3 linked regions of the Elephas maximus indicus genome follow. The protein of the gene in region 2 binds, or shares a complex with, the protein of the main gene of each other region. Links are inferred from orthologs where the notes say so. Each region holds a gene or a part of one and is shown on either strand. Other genes may lie near its edges.

What was found. Proteins that work in one complex are often made in the same cells at the same time.
Region 1: ZC3H13 (region 2) and CBLL1 share a complex: the UniProt entries of both Homo sapiens proteins name them as parts of the WMM complex. The link is inferred for Elephas maximus indicus from reciprocal best matches to the Homo sapiens genes ZC3H13 and CBLL1.
Region 3: ZC3H13 (region 2) and METTL14 share a complex: the UniProt entries of both Homo sapiens proteins name them as parts of the WMM complex. The link is inferred for Elephas maximus indicus from reciprocal best matches to the Homo sapiens genes ZC3H13 and METTL14.

The regions. Positions count from the first base shown.
Region 1 is NC_064826.1:41,895,148-41,903,007, reverse strand, and holds the start of CBLL1 (E3 ubiquitin-protein ligase Hakai), read left to right. Parts: upstream 1-4,769; 5' UTR 4,770-5,079; coding exon 5,080-5,092; intron 5,093-5,102; exon of another isoform or gene 5,103-5,762; intron 5,763-7,860. UniProt on the Homo sapiens protein: E3 ubiquitin-protein ligase that mediates ubiquitination of several tyrosine-phosphorylated Src substrates, including CDH1, CTTN and DOK1. Targets CDH1 for endocytosis and degradation.
Region 2 is NC_064832.1:33,686,062-33,693,423, forward strand, and holds the start of ZC3H13 (zinc finger CCCH domain-containing protein 13), read left to right. Parts: upstream 1-4,318; 5' UTR 4,319-4,394; exon of another isoform or gene 4,395-4,683; intron 4,684-7,362. Other genes in the region: carboxypeptidase B2-like, read left to right, coding at 2,973-3,157. UniProt on the Homo sapiens protein: Associated component of the WMM complex, a complex that mediates N6-methyladenosine (m6A) methylation of RNAs, a modification that plays a role in the efficiency of mRNA splicing and RNA processing.
Region 3 is NC_064823.1:30,926,294-30,934,241, forward strand, and holds the start of METTL14 (N6-adenosine-methyltransferase non-catalytic subunit), read right to left. Parts: upstream 3,092-7,948; 5' UTR 2,924-3,091; coding exon 2,858-2,923; intron 1-2,857. UniProt on the Homo sapiens protein: The METTL3-METTL14 heterodimer forms a N6-methyltransferase complex that methylates adenosine residues at the N(6) position of some mRNAs and regulates the circadian clock, differentiation of embryonic stem cells and cortical neurogenesis.

The sequences.
Region 1 (7,860 bases), on a different chromosome or scaffold from region 2:
CTAAACCAAACGGAAGAAATGATGACGCTGAAGAGGTGAACAGAAGATTTCAAAGGGCAGCTCGAGAAGACAAAGCAAAGTATTATAATGACACGTGCAAAGACCTGGAGTTAGAAAACCAAAAAGGAAGAACACACTTGGCATTTCTCAAGCTAAAAGAAGAAAAAATTCAAGCCTCGAGTTGCAATACTGAAGGATTCTATGGGGATAATAGTAAACGATGCAAGAAGCACCAAAAGAAGATGGAAGGAATAATACACGGTCACTATACCAAAAAGAATTAATTGACATTCAGTCATTTCAGGAGGTAGCATATGATCAGGAAACAACGGTACTGAATGAAGAGGTCCAAGATGGTCTGAAGGCACTGGTGAAAAACAAGGGTCCAGGAATTGATGGAATACGAACTGAGATATTTCAAGAAATGGATGCAGTGCTGGAAGTGCACATTTGTCTATGCCAAAAAATTTGGAAAACAGCTATCTGGCCAACTGACTGGAAGAATCTGCATTTATGCCGATTCCAAAGAAAGGTGATCCAATAGAATGAAGAAATTATCGAACAATATCATTAATATCACACACAAGTAAAATTTTGCTGAAGATCATTCAAAGGTGGCTGCAGCAGTATTATCAACAGGGAACTGCCAAAAATTCAAGCCAGATTCAGAAGAGGACATAGAACCAGTGATATCATTGCTGATATCAGATGGATCCTGGCTGAAAGCAGAGAATACCGGAAAGATGTTTACCTGTTTTATTGACTGTGTAAAGGCGTTTGACTGTGTGGATCATAACAAATTATGTATAACATTGTGAAGAATGGGGATTCCAGAGCAGATAATTGTGCTCATGAGGAACCTGTACATAGACCAAGAGGCAGTCGTTCAAACAGAACAAGGGGATATTGTGTGGTTTAAAGCTAGGAAAGGTGTGCATCAGGACTATATCCTTTCACCATGCTTATTCAATCTGTATGCTGAGCAAATAATCTGAGAAGCTTGACTATATGAAGAAGAAAAGGGCATCAGGATTGGAGGAAGACTCATTAACAATCTGCGACATGCAGATGACACAACCTTGCTTGCTGAAAGTGAAGAGGGCTTGAAGCACTTACTGGTCTAGATCAAAGACTACAACCTTCAGTATGGATTACACCTCAATATAAAGAAAAGAAAATTCTTCACAACTGGGCCAATAAGCAACATCATGATAAATGGAGAAAATACTGGAGCCGTTAAGGATTTCGTTTTCCTTGGATCCACAATCAACGTCCATGGAAGCAGCATTGAAGAAATCAAACGACGCATCGCATTGGGCAAATCTACTTCAAAAGATCTCCTTAAAGTGTTAAAAAGCAAAGATGTCACGTTGAAGACTAAGGTGCGCCTGACGCAAGCCACGATGTTTTCAATCATATGCATGTGAAAACTCACAAGGAGTAAGGGAAGACTGAAGAAGAATTGATGCCTTTGAATTATGGTATAGGTGAAGAATATTGCACATACCATGGACTGCCAAAAGAATAAATCTGTCTTGGAAGAAATACAGCCAGAATGCTCCTTAGAAGCAAGGATGTTGAGACTACTTCTCACATACTTTGGACATGTTATCAGGAGGGCTCAGTTCCTGGAGAAGGATATCATGCTTGGTAAAGTAGAGGGTCAGTGAAAAACAGCAAGCCCCCGTCAAGATGGGCTGACACAATGGATGCAACAGTGGGCTCAAGCATAATGACAATGTGAGAATACTGCAGGACTGGACGGCGTTTCGTTTTGTTGTACATAGGGTCACTATGAGTCGGAACCAACTTGGCAGCACCTGACAACAACAAGAAGCACTCTTAATAAAGTAGTATTATACAGTTGAAAGAACATTAAGATGATGGTTATTATCCTGACCTTGTATTAAGCGGAGTCCCTGGGTGGTGCAAATGGTTAATGCACTTGGCTACTAATTTAAAGGTTGGAGGTTCAAGTCCATGTATAGTCACCTGAAGAAAGGCCTGGTGTCGTACTTCTGAAAAGTCAGCCACTGAAAACCTATGGGTTTCTATTCTGACACACGAGGGCACCGTGAGTTGGAACTGTCTTGGTGACAACTCGTTAGTATTGTAGGAGTCCTGGTAGCACAGTGGTTAAGCGCTTGTCTACTAACTGAAAGTTTGGTCATTCAAACCTGCTGCTCTGCAGAAGAAAGATTTGGCAGCCCGCTTCTGTGAAGATTTATTATAAAATCTTCCCCTGTGGGGAAGTTCTACTCTGACCTATAGGGTCACTCTGAGTTGGAATCGACTCGATGGCAATGGGTTTGATTTGGTTTGTTTTTTGGTTAGTACTAAGGAGCCTGAAACAGGCTTTTGGAAAAACAACTCTCTGAGCTTAATGCCAACTGTCAAATCTTATCTTGCTCTATGTAAATGAAAGCTATTAAAACATCTTCGAGTATGCTGGCTTTGAAGAATACTAGCTTGTAATTCACAGGCTAACAGATCGCCTGTCAGTACAATGACAATATGCACTTCAGTGCTTCAGATTGCCTATTACTACAGCTTTTCATTTTTATAAACCTTGGATCAGTACCATGCTATTTAAGTAAATATAATATCAAGTTTCAATAAAGAAATTGTCACTGTTGGCAGCATCTGGTCACCAAAAAGCAATACTAGAAGGCAGTAATAAAATATAAATCTTTGTACAGTTTCATTTAGTTTAGGCAAAGAGATTAAACTAATTTGTCACACTGCTACTGTACTGGTAAAGCAATGCAACTACAGTTAAGGAAGAAAATGGGTATAGAGCAGAGATACTGAGGCAATACTTGAAAGTAACAAATCCAAGTCAAATAATAAAATAAAGGTTTATCTGACATTTTATCAACAGGAAATCTAAAATAAGTGAGTCTTCCCTCAGTAAATTAATTTGCATAACTTGATGCACCATAAAATCCCACCAAAACTTCTGATTTACAAACTAAAATTTCTAAAATGCAGGCTGAAAGTATCATATGTTATTCTAAATCTTTAAATTTTAGTATCAAAACCCAGTGCTGTTGAGCTGATTTCAACTCCTAGTGTCCCCATAGGACAGAGTAGAACTGCCCCATAGGGTTTCCAAGGAGCAGCTGGTGGATTCGAACTGCTGACCTTTTGGTTAGCAGCCAAGCTCTTACCCACTGTGCTACCAGGGCTCCAAATATTAGTATCAGCAGAGATTAATAATAATCAGGATATCTGACTAACCAAAACATTCTATGCCCAACAATGGCTTCCTGAACCTGGATTTGCATTAATCTGAAATTTAGCTAATAAGCTGAATATGAGGATACAAAAAAAAAAAAAAAAAAAAAGCACTTCCTGGATGAAAACTGCTCTTCCTTCACACCCCAAATTGGTGACAAGTGCTCAGCCACATCAGCAGTTTTTAGAGAAATAGGGGTACAAAGTACAGGAGAAAGGTTAAGCTTCTCTCCCTCACCCAAACAAAAACAGTTCCAGCAACTGCAAGCATCTTTAAAGCCACTTAGTAATACAGAACTTTCATTTTAACAAAAGCAAGGGTAATTTTGATTCCCAAATGTTCATAGTTGTGAATGCACCTAAAAACTTGTTTATAAATCTGCACAGTGGATATGTGTTCAAAAAGATGTTAATAAATAGTACTGATCATCATAGAATTATTCAAAGTTATTGCTGCATAACTATACGGATACATTACTACACATACTTTATTCGGATTTCAATACCGAGAAGAAAATTCTGTAATAGGTCAGTACAATAATCTGTTCTTGATCTAGGAACTCTGGCACTGAAAGCGTGAATGACACAAGGTAATGATGTCGTCACCAAGGGACGACAAGAATAGAACCCAAATCCCCTGACTCCCAAGCTTGTGTTTTCCACTAATTGTGCTCCCTTCTACTCATCGGAGAGCATCAAATGTAAAGCTTTGGAGAAGGGAGTGGACACAAATGAGCAAAGTCCACCAGGTGGAGACTGCGCTGAAGGTCCTACGGCATCACCTTTTGGCACTTTCCTTTTCTCTTGGCTGTGGAGATGAAAGCAGCAGCAACCACAAACCCCTGGGACCAAGAACTGGAACTAGGTACTGCCTACTGTGGTAACTCTCTTCCTCATTTTAGGCCTTTCTTTTTTCACCTTTCCCTTCCGACCAGGCCCTAACGATCTCTTCACCTCACTCCATTTCTATGTACCCTTCCTGCGGCCCCCTTCTTTGCACATTAGTGCTAGGTGTCCCATGTAATAAGATGTAGCTGCGCGGCGTCCGCCAGTCCTGCGGAGAGGTTGTAGGGGAACCTAGAGCCACACGCATTTTCTCCAGAAAATGAGTGGTAGCAAAGCATGATGTAAGTATGTTTCAACTGGTAGAAACTTAAGAGGTGGGAACGTAGGCATACACCAAGTCTGTTCTACTTGGGGCTATGTAGCTCACCACGACAAAGCAAAATTTCGACAATAAGAAGCAGAGTCTTTTCGTCTAGCTAGAGGATTCTAACAGGTCAACCATCCCCTGGCAACCTCCCACGGGAGGACGCTTTCCGGAGCGCCGATGTTTACGCTTTTCCTAGAACCGGTGGAGACTGACGTTCCCAGACCCTCGGGGCTTCTAAACCGTTACTCCGCCGCCGGGGTGGGGCCAGCCCAACGGCCAAGCCTGCGCAATAGGCCTGGCTGACTCCGGGGTCCTGCGCACTACAAGTCCCAGAAGGCAACGCTCCGAGGGGGCGGGAGGCCGCCTTACCTGCCGTGAATTCTTTCGGCTAGTACCGCTCTCCCCCTCCCGTGTTGCCATGGGTCTCCTTTCCACAGTTAAAGGCTACTTTCTCTTGAGGCCTATGAGGAACTGCCTTAGCAACTTCGACACTGAAGCTCTTCGCGTACTCGCTCGTTCTCCCTTCTGCCCAAACTATGCTGGGGAGGCGACAAAAGATAGCCCTTGGAAGCCAAAGCTAGGAGACTGGTTGCACTTCCGCCTTCCGGACTCCGGGGATAGCGCGCACGCGCCCCATGCGACTCCGGTGCAGTTGACTTCCGCTCCCACTGTGCCCTGCGAGCCGAATCATGGATCACACTGGTAAGGAGGCGGAGGCAGTGGGGGTCCCGGTTCCATGCCCCCTTGGCCGGTCTGGGATCAGTCGCCTAGCGGGCATAGAGGGCTTACGTTCGCCCCAAAGCACTGGGGTGTGGTGGTGAGAAAGAAATATCACAGATCTCTCTCCGTGCCCGGCCGGGGCCTGCTGCTTCCCGGCCTACTCTCCGGTGCAGTAGCTACAGCCTCAGTACCGGCAAAAGCCGCTTTTCCTCTGGCACTGCTGGGCTCCGACTCGGGACGGCGGGCTGCGCGGGCCTCGGGGGGAGGGGAGAGCGCTGGTTTTTTTTTTTCCCCTCATCCCGGGTGCTCTGAGCTGCGTTTGCGGACTGGCGGATAGATTCCAATTTTTAAGTGGAGGAAGCCTCTCTGCGCTCTCCGCTTCGGCTGGGAGTGGTTGGGCGAGAGTAGGTTGGAGACTTCCTGCCGTCTCAGTCGGCTTTGGGCGGGTGCTCCTGTCGTTATTGTCTCTCTCGTCCTTCGTGGGCTAGAGTTGGAGAAAGGAGTCGGATATAGTTTTCGTAATCATACTCGGAGCAGCTTCTACCTCTAAACCTAAAGCATGCCCCACGCTTTGGCTGTGGTCCTTATTCGTCATTTCGGACCATTTCCTAAGGAAAGCTTAAAATCAAGGAGTTCTCATCTCTTTCTCCAAGTAAGACTGGCTCCATTACTTTTTTATGTGTGGGGTTTTTTTTTTTTTTTTGGCTTTTGTTTCCATTGGTTCGTGAATGTTAAAATAAAGCGCACTCGAAGTTAGGAAGCGCTCCATGCAGTTATGTTAATCGTGTCACAGGTAGGGAAAAATACATTTTCCGGTCTAGGTATTAATTGGGATGTGTGTTCTCAATCATGAAATATTTGTGTGTGTTGTGTGTGTGTGTTTATTTCTAAGCCTCGGGTTGGAATGTTAAAACAAGGCTGAGTTCCTGCCATCACCTTGATTACATTCTATTGGGGGAAATAGTAAACAGACTTTCTAAAAAAAACTTAAAATATTTACAGATTATGAAGGTATTTTGAAGAAAGTAAACAGGTACTGTGTTAGAGATAAATGGGAGGAAACTTTAGAGAGGACGGTCAGGGAAGGTCTTTGTTGGAAAGGTAATATTTAAGTTGAGATTTGATAGATGAGAAGAATCCAACCATGAAGTAAGCAGAATGAAGAGTATTTCCATCAAGTAAGTACAAAGGCTCTGAGATTAGGAAAACTTAGAGAAGGCCAATTGGCTGAAGCCTACTTAACAAGAGGTAAATTTAAAGAGCCTTAAGATGAAGTTGGAGAGGAAGTCAGATGGTGTAGGACCTTAAAGGCAATGATAAAGATTTGAATTTTAAGTGCACTGTGAAGCTATTGGAAACCCTAGTGGTGTAGTGGTTAAGAGCTAAGGCTGCTAACCAAAAGGTCGGCAGTTCAAATCCATCAGGAGCTCATTCGAAACTCCATGGGGCAGTTCTTTTCTTTCCGTAGGGTCGCTATGAGTTGGAATTGACTCGACAGCAATGGGTTTCTGAAGCTATTGAACAGGTAGAGGAGGAATCTGATCTTGTTAAAAAATGTAATAGGCTGTTCTAGGAAGAAAGAGTTAACAGTGGGAGGCAAGGGTAGTAAAAAAACGATTTAGGAGATTACAGTAGACCAAAAGAGATGATGGCTTGGCTTAGCGAGGATGAATGGAAGTAGGTCTAGTCGATAAGTATTTTGGTGATGGAACTCAATGACATGCTCATAGATTGGTTTGGAGGTATATGAGAAAAAGGAGAAATGCCTAGGTTTCTGGTTTGAGCAGCTGGGTAGATGGTAGTGTCCATTATTGAGTTGGGGAAAACATGAGAGAAAAGTAGACGTTTTTTAGGGATAGAGGTGGGGAATGGAAATTTAGGAACAAGAGTTTGGTTTCATACTGCTAAAATTTGAGATGTGTATTGAAACATACAAGGGGAGATGTCACATAGGCAATCGGAGACCAGCGGAAAGATACGGGCTGAAAATACATATTTGAGACTCAATACCTTATATTTTAAGGCATGGGGATGGATGTGATCACTAAAGGAGAGCTAATATAGAAGAGAGAGGGTTCCACAACCAGGCTCTAAGGAACTCCAGTCTTTGAACAGTTCACTGAGTTGAAATTCAAGGATCTGGGTGTTAGAGTAGCAAGCATTGAATATCAGCAAAATATTACTCATTTGAACCTTTGGAATTGGGAATCCAGTCCCTTCCACAATTCAGAGGATGCTATATTAGAAAATTGTAATATGAATGGGTGTGTATCTGAGCATAGTAAGTCATCTAGCATGGAAATCTTCCCTAATGAGCTGATTACTTAAACAATTAGTTGCTACTCAGGTATTTCTTCTGCTTAATACTAGCATCTATTCTTTTAGATAATTTCTTTGTGAGTCAGTTTTCTTGATGTTTCATATTAGGAGACAACATCAAATGCTGTTCTTTAATTGTTGGGAAAAATTACAAACCTTGCAAAACATACAGGCTTTTATGAAATGCATAAACTTGAATTTCGATAACTATTTGAATCACAAATAGAGCCATTGACTAGTGAGGAAATGCCAGTTAGCCAGTTAAGTGAAGACATCATGACTGGGTAGACATTTCAGGAGAATGATTTTAATATCAAAGGATTAAGAGAGGCCCTTGGGAAAATTGATGAAACCCTCGACTGTTATGCAGAAATGGCCCACCTAATGAACACGCTGAAAAAAATACACGTAAAATGAAGGCTATCCTGTGG
Region 2 (7,362 bases):
TAAATGGGCACACCTGCCCAGGGGCAAGGATGAAAAGGCAGGAGGGGACAGGAGAGCTAGACAAATGGAAAATCGAGTCATTCTCTTTTGAGACATAAAAGAGAATCAGACAAAGAGGAGAGGGACCTCATTTCATCAAGGAAAAAAAAAAAAGCCAGGAGAAGACCACGTTCTTTGGACCTGGGGTCCCTGGGCTGAGAAACTCCTAGATCCAAGGGAGGATTGATGGCAAAAGACCTTCCTTCAGAGCCAATTGAGAGAGAAAGTTAAGTTAAGGCTGGCAGTCCAAAGCCACCAGCTGTTCCTTTGGAAAACCTATGGTGCAGTTCTACTCTGTCCTATGGGGTCGCTGTGACTCTGAATTGACTCCACAGCAACAGGCTTGGTTTTGTTGGTTTTATACATTTAGCCCATTGCCATCCATTCGATACTGACTCATAGTGACCCTACAGGACAGAATAGAACTGCCCCATAGGGTTTCCAAGGAGTGGCTGGTAGATTCGAACTACAGGCGTTTTGCTAGCAGACAAGCTCTTAAGCACTGCACCAGCAGGTCTCCTTTATATGTATACATATATAAACATAAAAAAAAATACATATAGGAAAATACATATATATGCATTCATATATGTACACACACATATATACGTGTATATACACACCCCCCAAAAAACCCAAACCCACTGCTGTTGAGTTGATTCTGACTCATAGCAATCTTATAGGACAGAGTAGAACTGCCCCACGAGGTTTCCAAGGAGCACCTAGTGGATTCGAAACGCTGACGTTTTGGTTAGCAGCCATAGTGATTAAGACCTATGCCACCAGGGTTTTCTATACACACATATATGTGTATACATATGGATTCATTGTTAAATGTATATGTGTGCATACACACACACACACACGCACACACACACACACAAAATCTATGTTGTTGTTAGGTGCTGTTGAGTTGGTTCCAACTCATAGCAGCCCTATGTACAACAAAACAAAATACTGCCTGGTCCTGCACCATCCTCACAATTGTTGCTGTGCTTGAGCCCATCATTGCAGCCACTGTGTCAATCCATCTTCTTCAGGGTTTTTCACTTTTTCACTGACCTTGTACTTTACCAAGCATGATGTCCTTCTCCAGGGACCGGTTCTTCCCAGTAACATGTCCAAAGTACATGAGACGAAGTCTCACCATCACTTCTAAGGGAGCATCCTGGCTAAGCTTTTTCCAAGACAGATTTGTTCATTGTTCTGGCAGTCCTTGGTATATTTAGTATTCTTTGCCAACACCATAATTCAAAGGGATTAATTCTTTAGTCTTCCTTATTCATCATCCAACTTTCACATGCATATAAGGCAATTGAAAACACAATGGCTTGGGTGAGGTGCACCTTAGTCCTAAAAGTGATATCTTTGCTTTTTAACACTTTTAAAGAGGTCTTTTGCAGTAAAAAAAAAAAAAAAAAATTTATTACTATTATTATTTTTTGCAGTAGATTTGGCCATATGTCCTTTCATTTCTTGATGGCTATTTCCATGGATGTTGGCTGTGGATCCAAGTATAATGAAATCCTTGACGAATTCAGTCTTTTCCCATGTATCATGATGTTGCTTATTGCTCCAGTTGTGAGCATTTTTATTTTCTTCATGTTGAGGTGTAATCCATACTGAAAGCTGTAGTCTTTGATCTTCATCAGTCAGTGCTTCAAGTCCTCTTCACTTTCAGCAAGTAAGGTTGTGTCATCTGCATAATGCAGGTTTCTAGTCTTCCTCCAATCTAAAATATTCAGCTCACTGGTAATGAAAGAAACAGAAACTAAGAGAATTTGATAATATTTTTCACCCATCAAATTGCCAGAAATTCATAATTCTCATGGATGATGTGGGAGGGGAAGTGAGCCTATTCAGACCAGGCTAGTGGGGGTATAAATTTGTTCAATTCTTTTAAGGCTATTTGAAGATATGCATAATAATTATAAAAAGTGTATATCCTTAGACTAGTAATTGTATTTCTAGAGAAGAATATTGTAAAGAAATAAAGAAGAAATTATGTATGAATAAGGGTATTAATTATAAAACTCTTTGTGGTAATTAATAATTGGAAAAAATCCAAATGCCCTCAAATAAATTAATAATTATTTAAATCAATTATATCCAGTTTTATCATGCAATGTTATGCAATCATTAAAAATAATAATACAGATTTGAACTAATTAATATGTAAAGCTGGTCATGATAGGTTATATTTAGAAATGTTACAAGGCAGCATACATGGTGTGATCCATTTATGTATGGAAAAAAATAAACATGTGAATGTCTGCACTAAAAAATTAAAGATAACGTGCTAAAACATTGATGGTGATTATCATTCCTTAGAAGTTGCTGGGTGGCCCAGCCAGTTTGCAATCACCTACTGCCCTGAAGGTTGGGGGTTGGAACCCATGCAACAGGGTCATGGAAGAAAGTCTTGTGCATTTGCTTCCCTAGAGACTATAGCCAAGAATACGCCGTGAACAGTTCTACTCATGGGGTTGCCATGCTTCAGAATTGACTCCACGGCAATGTGTTTTTTTTTTTTTTCCTTTCTCCTTCTTAGTCGCTCCTTGGTAGGGTTATAAGGAGCCTTGTTGGTGCAGTGCTTAAGCATTAGGCTGCTAAGTGAAAGGTAGGCAATTAGAACCCACCAGCTGCTCTTAGGGTGAAAGATGTGGCAGTCAGCTTCCCTAAAGATTTCAGCTTCGGAAACCCCACGGGGCAATTATACTCTGTCCTTTAGGGTCCTTATGGGTTTGGTTTGGTAATATAATGGGTGATTTTTACTTTCTTCCTTAACCTTTTTTCCCCTTCAATCTCCATTTCCTACAAGTAACATAGGTTACTTAATAATCGAACACAAGTAAAGCTTTTTCCAGTTTTAGGAAAACAAATTTTGTTAACTAACTTAAAATATGTTTTTAAAAAGCAATTTCTTCTTGTAGATTTAGCTCCTGGAGGTTCAGATGACTGGATTTATGACTTGGGCACCAAATACTCGTTTACAATTGAACTTCGAGATAAAGGCGAATTTGGATTCTTGCTGCCTGAACGTCTCATCAAGCCAACTTGTAAAGAGGCTCTCGCGGCTGTCTCTAAAATAGTCTGGCATGTCATCAGGAATGTTTAATGCCCTTGATTTTATCACTCTGCTCCCATATTTTAATTTATTGATTCCAGCAAGACCAAATAATTGTCCCAGCTTCTTTTTAAGTTTTATCAACAGTTTTGTAACGAGATTTTCCCATTTCTTGGCTTTGTCAAAGAATAAAATAAATGCCACCTTGCAAATAAGACAAGAGTTCACATTTCTTTTCACTTTTTTTTTTTTTTTTTAAATTGTAAGGGGCTAGGTGTTGTTGTTGTTGTTAGGTGCCATTGAGTCGCTTCCAACTCACAGCTATCCTGTGCACAACAGAACGAAGCACTGCCCTGTCCTAAGCCATCCTTACAATCATTGTTATGCTTGAGCTCATTGTTGCAGCCACTGTGTCAATCAACCTTGTTGAGGGTCTTCCTCTTTTCCTCTGACCCTGTACTTTGCCAAGCATGATGGCCTTCTACAGGGACTGATCCCTCCTGACAACACGTCCAAAGTGTGTAAGACGCAGTCTCGCTATCTTTGCCTCTAAGGAGCATTCTGGCTGCACTTCTTCCAAGACAGATTTGGTATATTCAATATTCTTCGCCCACACCACAATTCAAAGGTACTGATTTTAATTTTTTTTTTTTTACTTTGATTCAGGATGTTTCACTAACCAAACAATTTTAATAAATTGTATCATACAAATCATTGGTTAAAGCTTTGAGACCCTAAGCAACAAAAGGAAAGACCGTCGGGAGTATATGAAAGATTTTTGTTTCACATTTTCAGTAAACTTGTTTGCGCCTTTAAAAACATAACCCTGCATTCCGTTTGCTCCACAATAATAGGCGATGGGCTACAAAGGAGACGGGTTCAAAAATAGGACATTCGCCAGGTCTGGTCCAGCTCAGAGTCTCAATAAGCATTCTTGAACAAATGAATGGCTGTAGTTACTTTCAATACACGTAGCATTTTGCACACCTAAAATAGTTGTTTATTGTAAGAAATTATGTAATGAACGGGGAAATTCTCTTAAGTTCACTTTTAATTGGGAATCAAAAAAGTCCCCCGCGAGTCCAAGTTTCCTTCCACAAAGAACATATTCAGGAGTTGATCTCTCGCTAATACTCTCGCTCCTCAGCGTCGACGCAACGTACGAGGAAAGGGGCGGGGTCTGCGCTCTGACGACTAACCTGGCGGCCGGAAGCTGGCTCGTTTACAGAGGAACAGGACGGTCTCCTGACTTCCGGCGGCTTTTTGAGTCGATCGCCCTAGCGGCCTGGTAGTTTTTTTTTGGAGTTTTTTTTACTGTCCATTTTCTCTTCCTTCTTTTTCTTCCCACGCCCCGTTCTCGCCGGACCCTGGCGAAGCGGCAGGCGGGTTCTGTTTCTCAGTCTCCCCGGGGCCCCGTGAGCCTCCGAGGAGCGGTTTCCGGGAGCCGCGCGCGCACCTCCTCCTTGTGGTCCTCCCGGGGCCAAGGCGCGGGGCGGAAGGTCTCCTTCCCCGCTCCTGCGAGCAGCGGCAGTGTGGGTGCCTCGGGTCTGCGTTTGCGAGGAGAGCTGGGGGTGGAGGTAAGGGTTCTGTGACTTCGTGTGGGTATTTGAGGAAAGGCGTTGGGCGAGCTGGGGAGGCCCGGAGTCGCCCACCATGCCCACTTGGGTCACACTGGTATTTCGTGCTCCCCTTGAGCATCCTGCCCCTGAATCTTCAGTCACTCCCTGTGCTCAGGCCTCGTTTGTCTCCCTCGCTCTGATTGTGGCGAGTCTGTCTAGGGGACAGGTCGACTCAGGCAAAAGACTGTGACTGACATTTGAGGTGGGCACGGGAACCCTTGAGCAGAATTCGCGTTTGTATGCAATGGAGGGGTGCCGGAATAAGGTCTTAGATTTCGGAGTTTTTTCTTTGGGCATTCCAGACCTGTAATCGGTAAAGGGATCTTTTGGTTATTTTTGGTGTTCTGTATTTACTGGCAGTGATAAACCGAGTTAGGGCCTGGGAGTTGAGGAGTGCTAGTCTTGGCAGTTATATGCGGGGGAAACAAATTGAAAGAGAGGTAGAATGAAAGGACGGGACCTTATGTTTAGCATTACCTCTTTCTAAATACAAACGCAAACAAACCTGTTACCTTTGAGTCGATTCCGACTCATAGGGACCCTGTATGACAGAGTAGAACTCCCCCATAGGGTTTCCAGGGAGGGGCTGGTGGATTGGAACTGCCGACCTTTCGCTTAGCAGCCGAACGCTTAACCACTGCGCCACCAGTGCCCCGCTCTTTTTAAATAGGTTAATATAATTTAAATGGCTGACAAATTCGGAGTTGCTATTACTTGAATGATGTTGGTAGGATTTTGCGTGTGGAAGGTAGTGTGTTAATCTATTCGGTTATATTAGAAGGTTTCCAGGTAATTTGAACTACTTTGAAAATTATGGGCTAGAGTCTCTTAAGGTTTTTGCATTTGTAAAGAGGGAATTTAGAAAGTTTGGAAGAGGTCTTCACGCCTCGCGTTTTCAGAGTTCGTGATACTGTTGCGGCAAATCCCGATGCTTATGCAGCGCCATCCCTGTGTGCATGGTGCCAGTTAGCATGGTCCAGTTTCTGGGTGTTTTTAGTTCTGTAATACTTGATGTCATGGGCTTTACTGTCCAAACAATAATGTTTTGGAGAGCTATTGATTTTGAAGTTATTAATGAAATACTTAGATTATAATAGATGACAGTTTCAGAGAGATAGTAAGAAGATTGATGGAGGTATATGTCAGTTTGTGTGTGTAAAAATAGTTGCATCATGAAACTAAAAATTTCACTGTGTCCGTCTGGTAGGATACAGTTTTATGAAGTCTATGCCTCTGACAGGGTCGCTGTGAGTCCGAATCGACTCCATGACAAGTGGTTTGGTTTTACTGAAGTCCTAGTTATTGGTAATTCTAATTGCACATTGTACATTTTAGGATGTGTGCACATCTTATTTTCATATCTGTAGTACAGATTAAAAATATTAAGAGACAGCAAGTGGATGCTATGTTAACTTTTTTATACCAAATTATTAAAATTTTAATGAATCATCTGTATTAGTTTATATTATAATATGCATTGGTGTTTACATAGGGAAAGCAAAATTGTTTAACTTCCATTTGGAGAATTGGTTTTCAGTGGACGTTAGTCTTTCCCGTATTCCCCACTCGCAACCCACAGCTCATACAGAGTTGGAGGCATTTTAGCAGGTACTTTGTAGTGGCTGAGGTATTAACTGGTGTTCATGTAACCCTGTCTTCTCTTCTCCTCTTGTAGCTCTGTGTGTTGCGGTTCTGTTTACGTCACTTCATAGTGGTTCCCAGGATGGGGTGTTCTTTGTGCACACACAATCTTTTTAACAAGTTATTTTCTGCACAGTGCTGCAGTATTGCCTTGCTCATACCTGTGTAGTCAGCTTAGTTGTGCCAGTTCTGTTGCACGATCAGTTAAGAATAGATTTACTCTGTCTACAGGTAAGCAACCTGGAAGGGTGTTTGAGAAAGTTCTTTTTAATAAATTCTTCAAAAGTATGCATCAAATAAACAGCTATTTTTTCTTTTAAAACATGAAGTATGAATGTGGGGAAAGTTTTATTTTTTAATATAACCCTTTAAATCTTAGAAATTCAATGGGTAGGGATTTATTCTACTAATTAATACATTTATATAGTTTTAGTTATGTAATTATTTGACAGTTTCCTGGTATTACGCTGCTGCTGTATAAGTAATAGAAGATCATCCAGATTAAAAAGAGTTATGCTTTCATTTACACTACAGAAGATGAGACCTCAGAAGGATCCAGTGAAGATACTAGAACTGATACATATTTTACTGACAAGATTTTAGCCATTAGGCTTCAGGTTTAATTAATTATTCAGAGAAGAGGACCCTGTATTTTTCAACTTTTTCAGCCATATTTATAGTGTGCAGCTTTGAATAGATTGTGATAATGTAATTTCCCATTTATTAAGACTCCCTTTTCCTGTGCCTTCAGGAGATTCAAGCTTTATTTCCAGTTATTCTTTTTCTTTTTAAATTTAAAAGTGATAAGGAAAATTTCAGATATTTATATATCTGCAAGGAAAAATAGAAAAATGACTAAATGGACTTTCACCAGTCTTATTCTGGCTCTTACAGTGCTGCTGTTTGGGAAAGAAATGATGATGTGATAGTGTAAGGGTAACTTAAACAAAAGAACAACGGGCAGAGCAATTTATTTGAAAACAAAAATGGAGAACA
Region 3 (7,948 bases), on a different chromosome or scaffold from region 2:
CTAAGCCACGACACAATGTATTACAGAAGAAATGCTTTAAATAAAAATTCTGCCTACATATGTAATTGTCTTTTCATGAAACATTTAAAAAAAAAAATTGTAGAGTGCCCACATCAAGTTAATAAAAAAAATCCCACTGCCGTTGAGTTGAATTCGACCCATAGCAACCCTACAGGACAGAGCAGAACTGCCCCATAGGGTTTCCAAGGAGCGCCTGGTGGATGTGAACTGCCAACCTTTTGGTTAGCAGCTGTATCACTTAACCAAGTCAATAACAGATTTTCCATTATGTTGGTGGCACTGAATAGATTTATCTGAGGAATTCTAACAATTTGATAACTTCCTAAGGCATATTTAATTTTTGGAAACAGAGTTACTTCTCAGGACCACGTATGCTGTTTGAAGTTAAATAAACAAAAGGCACAAATTGGTGGTGGTAGCATCAGTTGTTATTATCATGGTCCAGGCCTACTTTTTGCCTCTAAAGGCTTCACTAAGCAGACAAAAGTGAATCAAGCAAATCATACACATGTTGTGCTCTAGTCTGATATTTCATCACTCAACAAATGTTTATTAAAATCTTGCTTTGTGAAAGAAACAATCCTGGGTGGGAAGAGGTTACTCAACAGGAGTTACATACAGACTTTGTACTCAAACTATTATAGTCTATGTGACAATCCACAAGTGCAAACGGTTAAGTGCTCGACTACTAACCAAAAGGTTGGTGTTTAGAACCCACCTAGAGGCACCTCATAAGACAGGCTTGGCGATCTGCTTCCAAAAGGTCACAACCTTGAAAACCCTATGGAGTTCTACTCTGCATACATGAAGTCACCATGAGTCGGAATCAACTCAATGACAACTAACAACAAAAACAGGACAATTCACACAATATGTAGTAGTGGACTCGACAGTGAGGTACAATGAAAGCTCAAAGGAAGAAGAGCCTAAGCCAGGGAGATCAGAATAGGTTCCAACACCAAATTCTAACCTAACTGGGCCATGGAGGATGGATAGAATTCAGAAGGCAGGTAAGAAAAAGACTTTAAAAATAATAATACTAAAGCATAAAAAAGCATATAGTGCACAAATCAAGTTCTGGAGAATAATAAAAGCAATCTATCTTGTTCATACAGAGAAAACTAGGCAAAAGACGCTCTGCAATTTGTTGGTAAAGTGGAAGTTTGTCACTGATTATAGTGGAGGCAGCTAGGTGTACTGGAAAGAGCCTGGCAAGGCCTAAATTAAAATCCCAGCTCTCACATTTACCAGCTTTGGGGCCTTGGGCAAGTAACAATTTTTTTTGGGGGGGGGGGGCTCTATTTTCTTCATCTATAAAATTCAGATAACATCTGACTTGTAGGATTGAAGACATATAAGTACACAGCTTAGCAGAGAGTCTGACACATAGCTGGAGGGGATTTAATACAGCTGCCATTATAAAACTGTAGTACTATGTAAGTTCTTTGTGGGTAGGGACTATTATTCATAGTTGAATTGCGAAGGCCTACTAGAGCTCCTGGAACATAGTTAAAGCACTAACAAATTGTTCTATGAATGTATTTTGAGCCAAATCTTCTAGAGATTTGAATTCAAAACTGAGGAGTAAAAACTACTGGTGGCAACAAAGATCTACTGAACATTTTGCAGACAATTATGATTAAAAAAGTAGGGAAAAAGAAGGCTTAGAAAGGATGCCTCATTTGTTCAGGATGGTACAGGACAGGACTAGATCTGATTCCAAATAACATGTTAAATACCATATCATATGTCTTTTCATCAGCTTTTAAAAGACAGGTTTCAGACTTCTTGTAGCTAAAACCAAAATTTACTATTGAAAAATAACAGCAAGACACCTCATTTTACCCATCACTTTTACTAATCTGAACAGCAGAATGGAAAACAAACCCTCTGATTTTACATAAAGGTAGCACCATCTGTATTTTCTGCAGGGTCATTATGAGTCGTAATCGACTCGATAGCAAAAGGTTTGGTTTTTGGTATACTCTACTCATCAGCAAGATTAGTATGGTCTTATGTACTAATGTACTCACACACAAGAAGCAGTGAAGGAGAGTGGTTTAGAAGGTAAGCTTTGGAGAGACAAACCTGGTTTCAAATTCTTGGCCCAGCTATGAGTGAGTCGGGGCAAAATTACTTGACCTCTGGAGCCTCTGTTCTGTTCTCTGATAAGTGAAGAGAATAATACTACCTATTTCATTGGGCTGTTTTGACTGACAGAGAGTAAAAATTTAAATACTATTTTTTTATGGGTGATGATGACGCTAGTATACGTTGCTCAGTGGCCTGCAATACACAAAATGTAGAATCTAATGTTTACACTTAGGCTCCTTTCAATGTAGTCTTTAAAGTAGATACCCCCGTCCCAAAATACACCCATTTCACAATGAAGCCACAATCTCAGGATTTAGGTGTTGATTCCGAGAAAAAAACAAGACAAAGAAGAGCACTTAAAAAAAATTAGCAAAGCGATATTTAAGGAATAAGTCACTTTTCATTGCATCAACTGTGATAACTTATTTACAAAAACCAAAGCTTTATATCCCCACTATCAAGCACAGTGCCAGAAGCTTGGAAGGCATTCGATAGATGTTGCTGAAGATCAATCGTGGCGTCTAGTTTAACATTACTACACACACAGCGGCTGGAATGGGAAAAAAATTCGGGGCACAGCAGGGGTTGAGAGAACAAGGGGAGATCCAAGGGTCAGGGTCTCCGGATCAGGAATGATCGGACAAGGTGAGCGCTGACAGGACGAAGGGCAGGGGAGGGGGAGAGGGCGGCCGCGCACGCGCATTCGCGAACCCTCCCCGCATTGGCCACCCCGGGCGCGGACCTGCTGCGCGAGGAGCTGTCGCCGTAGCTTCTGCCGCTCCCGGATCTCCTGCAAGCGGCTGTCCATATCCCAACTCCTGTTTTCCACTACCCTGAAAACTTGCCAATGCGTAGATTAACCCCCGCCCAATCTTTCTTCCAAGTCTATGGAACACAAAATTCGCCAGGGACTTCAGGCGGGCGGGTAACCCCTAGCCTTTTCTTCAAAGGGCTTTCCGGCTCGGCCGGAATTGGCTCCGTTGTACCCGGAAGTCCCGCCTACAATTTGACGCTACTTGGAAGGGGCCCAATGAGGGACGGGGCACTGGGGGAGGGGTCTCGGAAGCCTGATAGGCGCTGTGAGCAGCGATGTCAGGTCCCGTCTCTGGTGTCTCTCTTGATATATCCACGCCTCTTCCGATGTGAGCTCTTTTGTTGCTTCTCTTTTCCGTTAGTTCCCCAGTTACTTTTAAAACTTGTTACATGTAGTATCTGCTTTTTTACTGAGAGAGCAGACTCCGGCCATATTGCCTTGAACCTTTTCCTATTACTAGCTGGGTGACCTTGGCTGGTTAGTCACCTCCGTAAATCTGTTTTTTTCGTTTGTAAAATGGGAGTAAATAAGAGTGCCAGCCTCATGGAGTCGTTGTGAAGACTGAAATAATGAACAGTTTGTATAAATAGTAAGGAGGCGCAGAGCGCTATAGAAGTGTTTATTATTATTAAGGTTGTTGTTTTTTACTTTTCCCTTCTGTCAGTGCTCTGCACACCTCACTGTTGTTAGGTGCCGTCGAGTCGGTTCCGACTCATAGCGACCTTATGCGCAACGGAACGAAACACTGCCCAGTCCTGTGCCATCCTGACAATTGTTGTTATGCTCGAGCTCATTGTTGCAGCCACTGTGTCAATCCACCTCGTTGAGGGTCTTCCCCTTTTCCGCTGACCCTGTACTCTGCGAAGCATGATGTGCTTCTCCAGGGACTGATCCCTCCTGACAACATGTCCGAAGTATGTAAGAGGCAGTCTCGCCCTCCTTGCCTCTGAGGAGCATTCTGGCCACACTTCTTCCAAGACAGATTTGTTCATTCTTTTGGGAGTCCACGGTATATTCAATATTCTTCGCCAACACCACAATTCGAAGGTGTGAATTCTTCTTCGGTCTTCTTTATTCATTGTACAGCTTTCACATGCATATGATGCGATTGAAAATACCATGGCTTGGGTCAGGTGCACCTTAGTCTTCAAGGTGACATCTTTGCTTTTCAACAGTTTAAAGAGGTCCTTTGCAGCAGATTTGCCCAATGCAATGCGTCTTTTGATTCCTTGACTGCTGCTTCCATGCCTGTTGATTGTGGATCCAAGTAAAATGAAATCCTTGACAACTTCAGTCTTTTCTCTGTTTATTATGATGTTGTTCATTGTTCCAGTTGTGAGGGTTTTTGTTTTCTTCATGTTGACGTGCAATCCAAACTGAAGGCTGTGGTCTTTGATCTTCATTAGTAAGTGCTTCAAGTCCTCTTCACTTTCAGCAAGCAAGGTTGTGTCCGCTGCATAACGCAGGTTGTTAATGAGTCTTTCTCCTATCCTGATGCCCTGTTCTTCATATAGTCCGACTTCTCGGATTATTTGCTCAGCATACAGATTGAATAGGTATGGTGAAAGAATACAACCCTGATGCACACCTTTCCTGACTGTAAACCAATCAGTATCCCCTTCTTCTGTACAAACAACAGCCTCTTGATCTATGTAAAGGTTCCTCATGAGCACAATTAAGTGTTCTGGAATTCCCATTCTTTGCAATGTTATCCATAGTTTGTTATGATCCACACAGTCTAATGCCTTTGCATAGTCAAGAAAACACAGGTAAACATCTTCTGGTATTCTCTGCTTTCAGCCAGGATCCATCTGACATCAGCAATGATATCCCTGGTTCCACATCCTGTTCTGAAACCGGCCTGAATTTCTGGCAGTTTCCTGTCGATATACTGCTGTAGCCATTTTTGAATGATCTTTATCAAAATTTTGCTTGCATGGGATATTAATGATATTGTTCTATAATTTCCACATTCGGTTGGATCACCTTTCTTGGGAATAGGCATAAATTTGGATCTCTTCCAGTCAGTTGGCCAGGAAGCTGTCTTCCATATTTCTTGGCATAGACGAGTGAGCACCTCCAGCACTGCATCTATTTGTTGAAACATCTCAATTGATATTCCTTCAATTCCTGGAGCCTTGTTTTTTGCCAATGCCTTCAGAGCAGCTTGGACTTCTTCCTTCAGTACCTTCGGTTCCTGATCATATACCACCTCTTGAAATGGTTGAACATCGACTAATTCTTTTTGGTATAATGACTCTGTGTATTCCTTCCATCTTCTGTTGATGCTCCCTGCGTTGTTTAATATTTTCCCCACAGAATCCTTCACTATTGCAACTCGAGGCTTGAATTTTTATTTCAGTTCTTTCAACTTGAGAAACGCCGAGCGTGTTCTTCCCTTTTGGTTTTCCATCTCCAGCTCTTTGCACATGTCAGTATAACACTTTGTCTTCTCGAGCCGCCCTTTGAAATCTTCTGTTCATTCTTTTACTTCATCAATTCTTCCTTTTGCTTTAGCTGCTCGACGTTCGAGGGCAAGTTTCACTAGCTCTTGAGATATTGCCTGTTGTTACCATAATGCACTTTATGGATTCTTCCCTTTAGAAAAGAGGGGTTGGCGATTGTACAGTGTGCCTTGGTTTGTGTCCTAGATAAGACCCCTTTTTCTGCCTTGCATTTATCTTAGCAGAAAATAACCCTGGGATATGGAAATAAATACCCTGGTGGGGAGGGGAGGTGATTCTTCTCTCTTAGGAAGGCAGCAAAGACCAAAGTCTTACTAAAAACTTTAACATTGTTATTCACCACGTTTGTCATTTTGTTCCAAACTCAAGTGGCCAAGGTGGTTTAGGCATCCTGTTGCCTCAAGTTTAATTGGAACTTGTGGCAAGTACTTGCCAAAATAAATAACAAAGTTTATTCTTTGAGAGTGGATTTAGTTTTTTCAAATAATGATAAATCTTCCAGATCAAAACCAGGTGAGTCAGGCTAGGCCCAAAGTGGGCAATATTAGATTCTAGTAATTTATCACGCATTTCATGTGTTTTTTAAAAAATTAGCTTTAAAAGGAAATTTCAAAAGCGGAGCTCTAAAAATTCCTTGAGTAATGGGAACTATTCTATAAAAGATAATATGTGTGTAGGAGCCCTGGTGGTGCAGTGGTTAAGCACTCACTGCTCTGCAAGAGAAAGATGCGGCAGTCTGCTTTGGTAAAAATTTACAACCTTGGAAACTGTATGGAACAGTTCTGCTCTGTCCTATAGGGTCATAATGAGTAGGAATCCCCTCAGCGGTGGTGGGTTTGGATTTTTTTTTAAATTTGTATCTATGACTTAAAGTATGTTTCTTTAAAATTCCATTGTACTACTTTGCATGCCAGTCATTTAAGTTGGGTACTGATTTCAGCTATTTATCAATGATGGGAATAGGAATTTTCACTAAAATACTTATTTGATGTTTATTGACATTTTACATGGCAGGTACTTTGATAGGTATTAGAGTCAAAGACTGAAGACCAAGTAAGTCAAATTCTGCTTTCTGATGATGGTGGGCTAGGAATCTACAAACTACATTTTTCAGACTTCTTTGTCAGATGACTTCCAATAAAATTCTGCCAAGAGGAAGCACAGATGGAGATAAGAAGATGGAAGGTGGGGAGAAGCTATTGTTCTTCACTTCTTTTCCTGCTTCTGGCATCCCTGGAAGTGGCTGTCACTTCTTACAGAGTTGCAGAACCAGTTGCTACTTCTCCTCCTTGGCTGTCCTGTCTTTCCTGAATCAACTCAATGGTAACCTTTGGTTTTGTTTTGGGGTTTTTTATACCCCCAGTAGTGAGTGTGCTCTTGGGCTCTGATAATATCACCCCTTCCCTCTGTTTCACCAGTTTTAGCACTAGTAGCCACTTCTTGCAGTCAAAAATGTATGGTTTAATCTCACCTTCCCCTTTTTGTTTTTTTAGCCTTCAAAAACAAACCAAACCAGTTGCAGTGGAATGATTCTGACTCAGGACAACCTCATGTGTGTTAGAGGAGAGCTGTGCTCCACAGGGATTAGTATGGCTGTTTTTTCAGAAGTAGATTGCAATGCCTTTCTTCTAAAGCCTCTGGATGGACTTGAACCACCAACCTTTCAGTTAGCAGTGAGTCCATTAACCATTTGTACCACCCAGGAACTGTCTAGCCTTCAACACCTGTGTAACCAATTCTCCATAGTAAATGTTGTCTGTTTCAAATACTTTAAATGACTTCTGTTTTCCTGACTGGACCCTGGGCTGATAAAGATGTAAATGTGTACTATTACATAGTATTTACAAAGCCACCAGAATCCAGCAGTGATGGGACAGGCACTCTAACCGTTTTCCTGAGGATGAGGATGTAACTCTGAGATTTGTTTCACATCCTCTGAATTTTAAAATGCCAGACTAATGGCTCTAAACTTTTTTATTTTTCCACATCAGCACACTTGAAGAGTACTGTACATGGCTATCAATAGCATCTGCTCATCATGGTAACATAAGGGCCACTAGGGAGTGTGCGTGTGGGGTGGAGGGGAAGTAAGGTAGGAGTGAGAAGAAAGTTGGAAAAACAGCACATATAATTCATACTTTTTGAGGAGGCAGTTTCACTTCTAGGTACTAATTTAAGGAAGTAATTAAGAGCTTCATATAACAATTCGTTTTCCCACAAGCGTTCCTTGAGAATAACTACCCCAAACCTATATATCAGATTACCTATTACACAGCTTCCTAGGATGTTCTCCAGAATTTTAAACTTAACATGGATAAAACTTATATTCATAATCCATAATCCACCACCAACCTCTCTAAAAAAAAATCAATTCGAGCGTTTCCTCCTGTTTCAGAGACTAGCATCAATATCCATCCATTTTCCAAAATAAAGAAGCATTCCACCTTTCAGTTTCCATATCTGCTGTATAGCTGTAGCTCTGCTCCTGGCTCTCACTGCCCACCCCTTCATTCTACAACCACACACCTGTGGATGATCTGTAACCCTATCCATA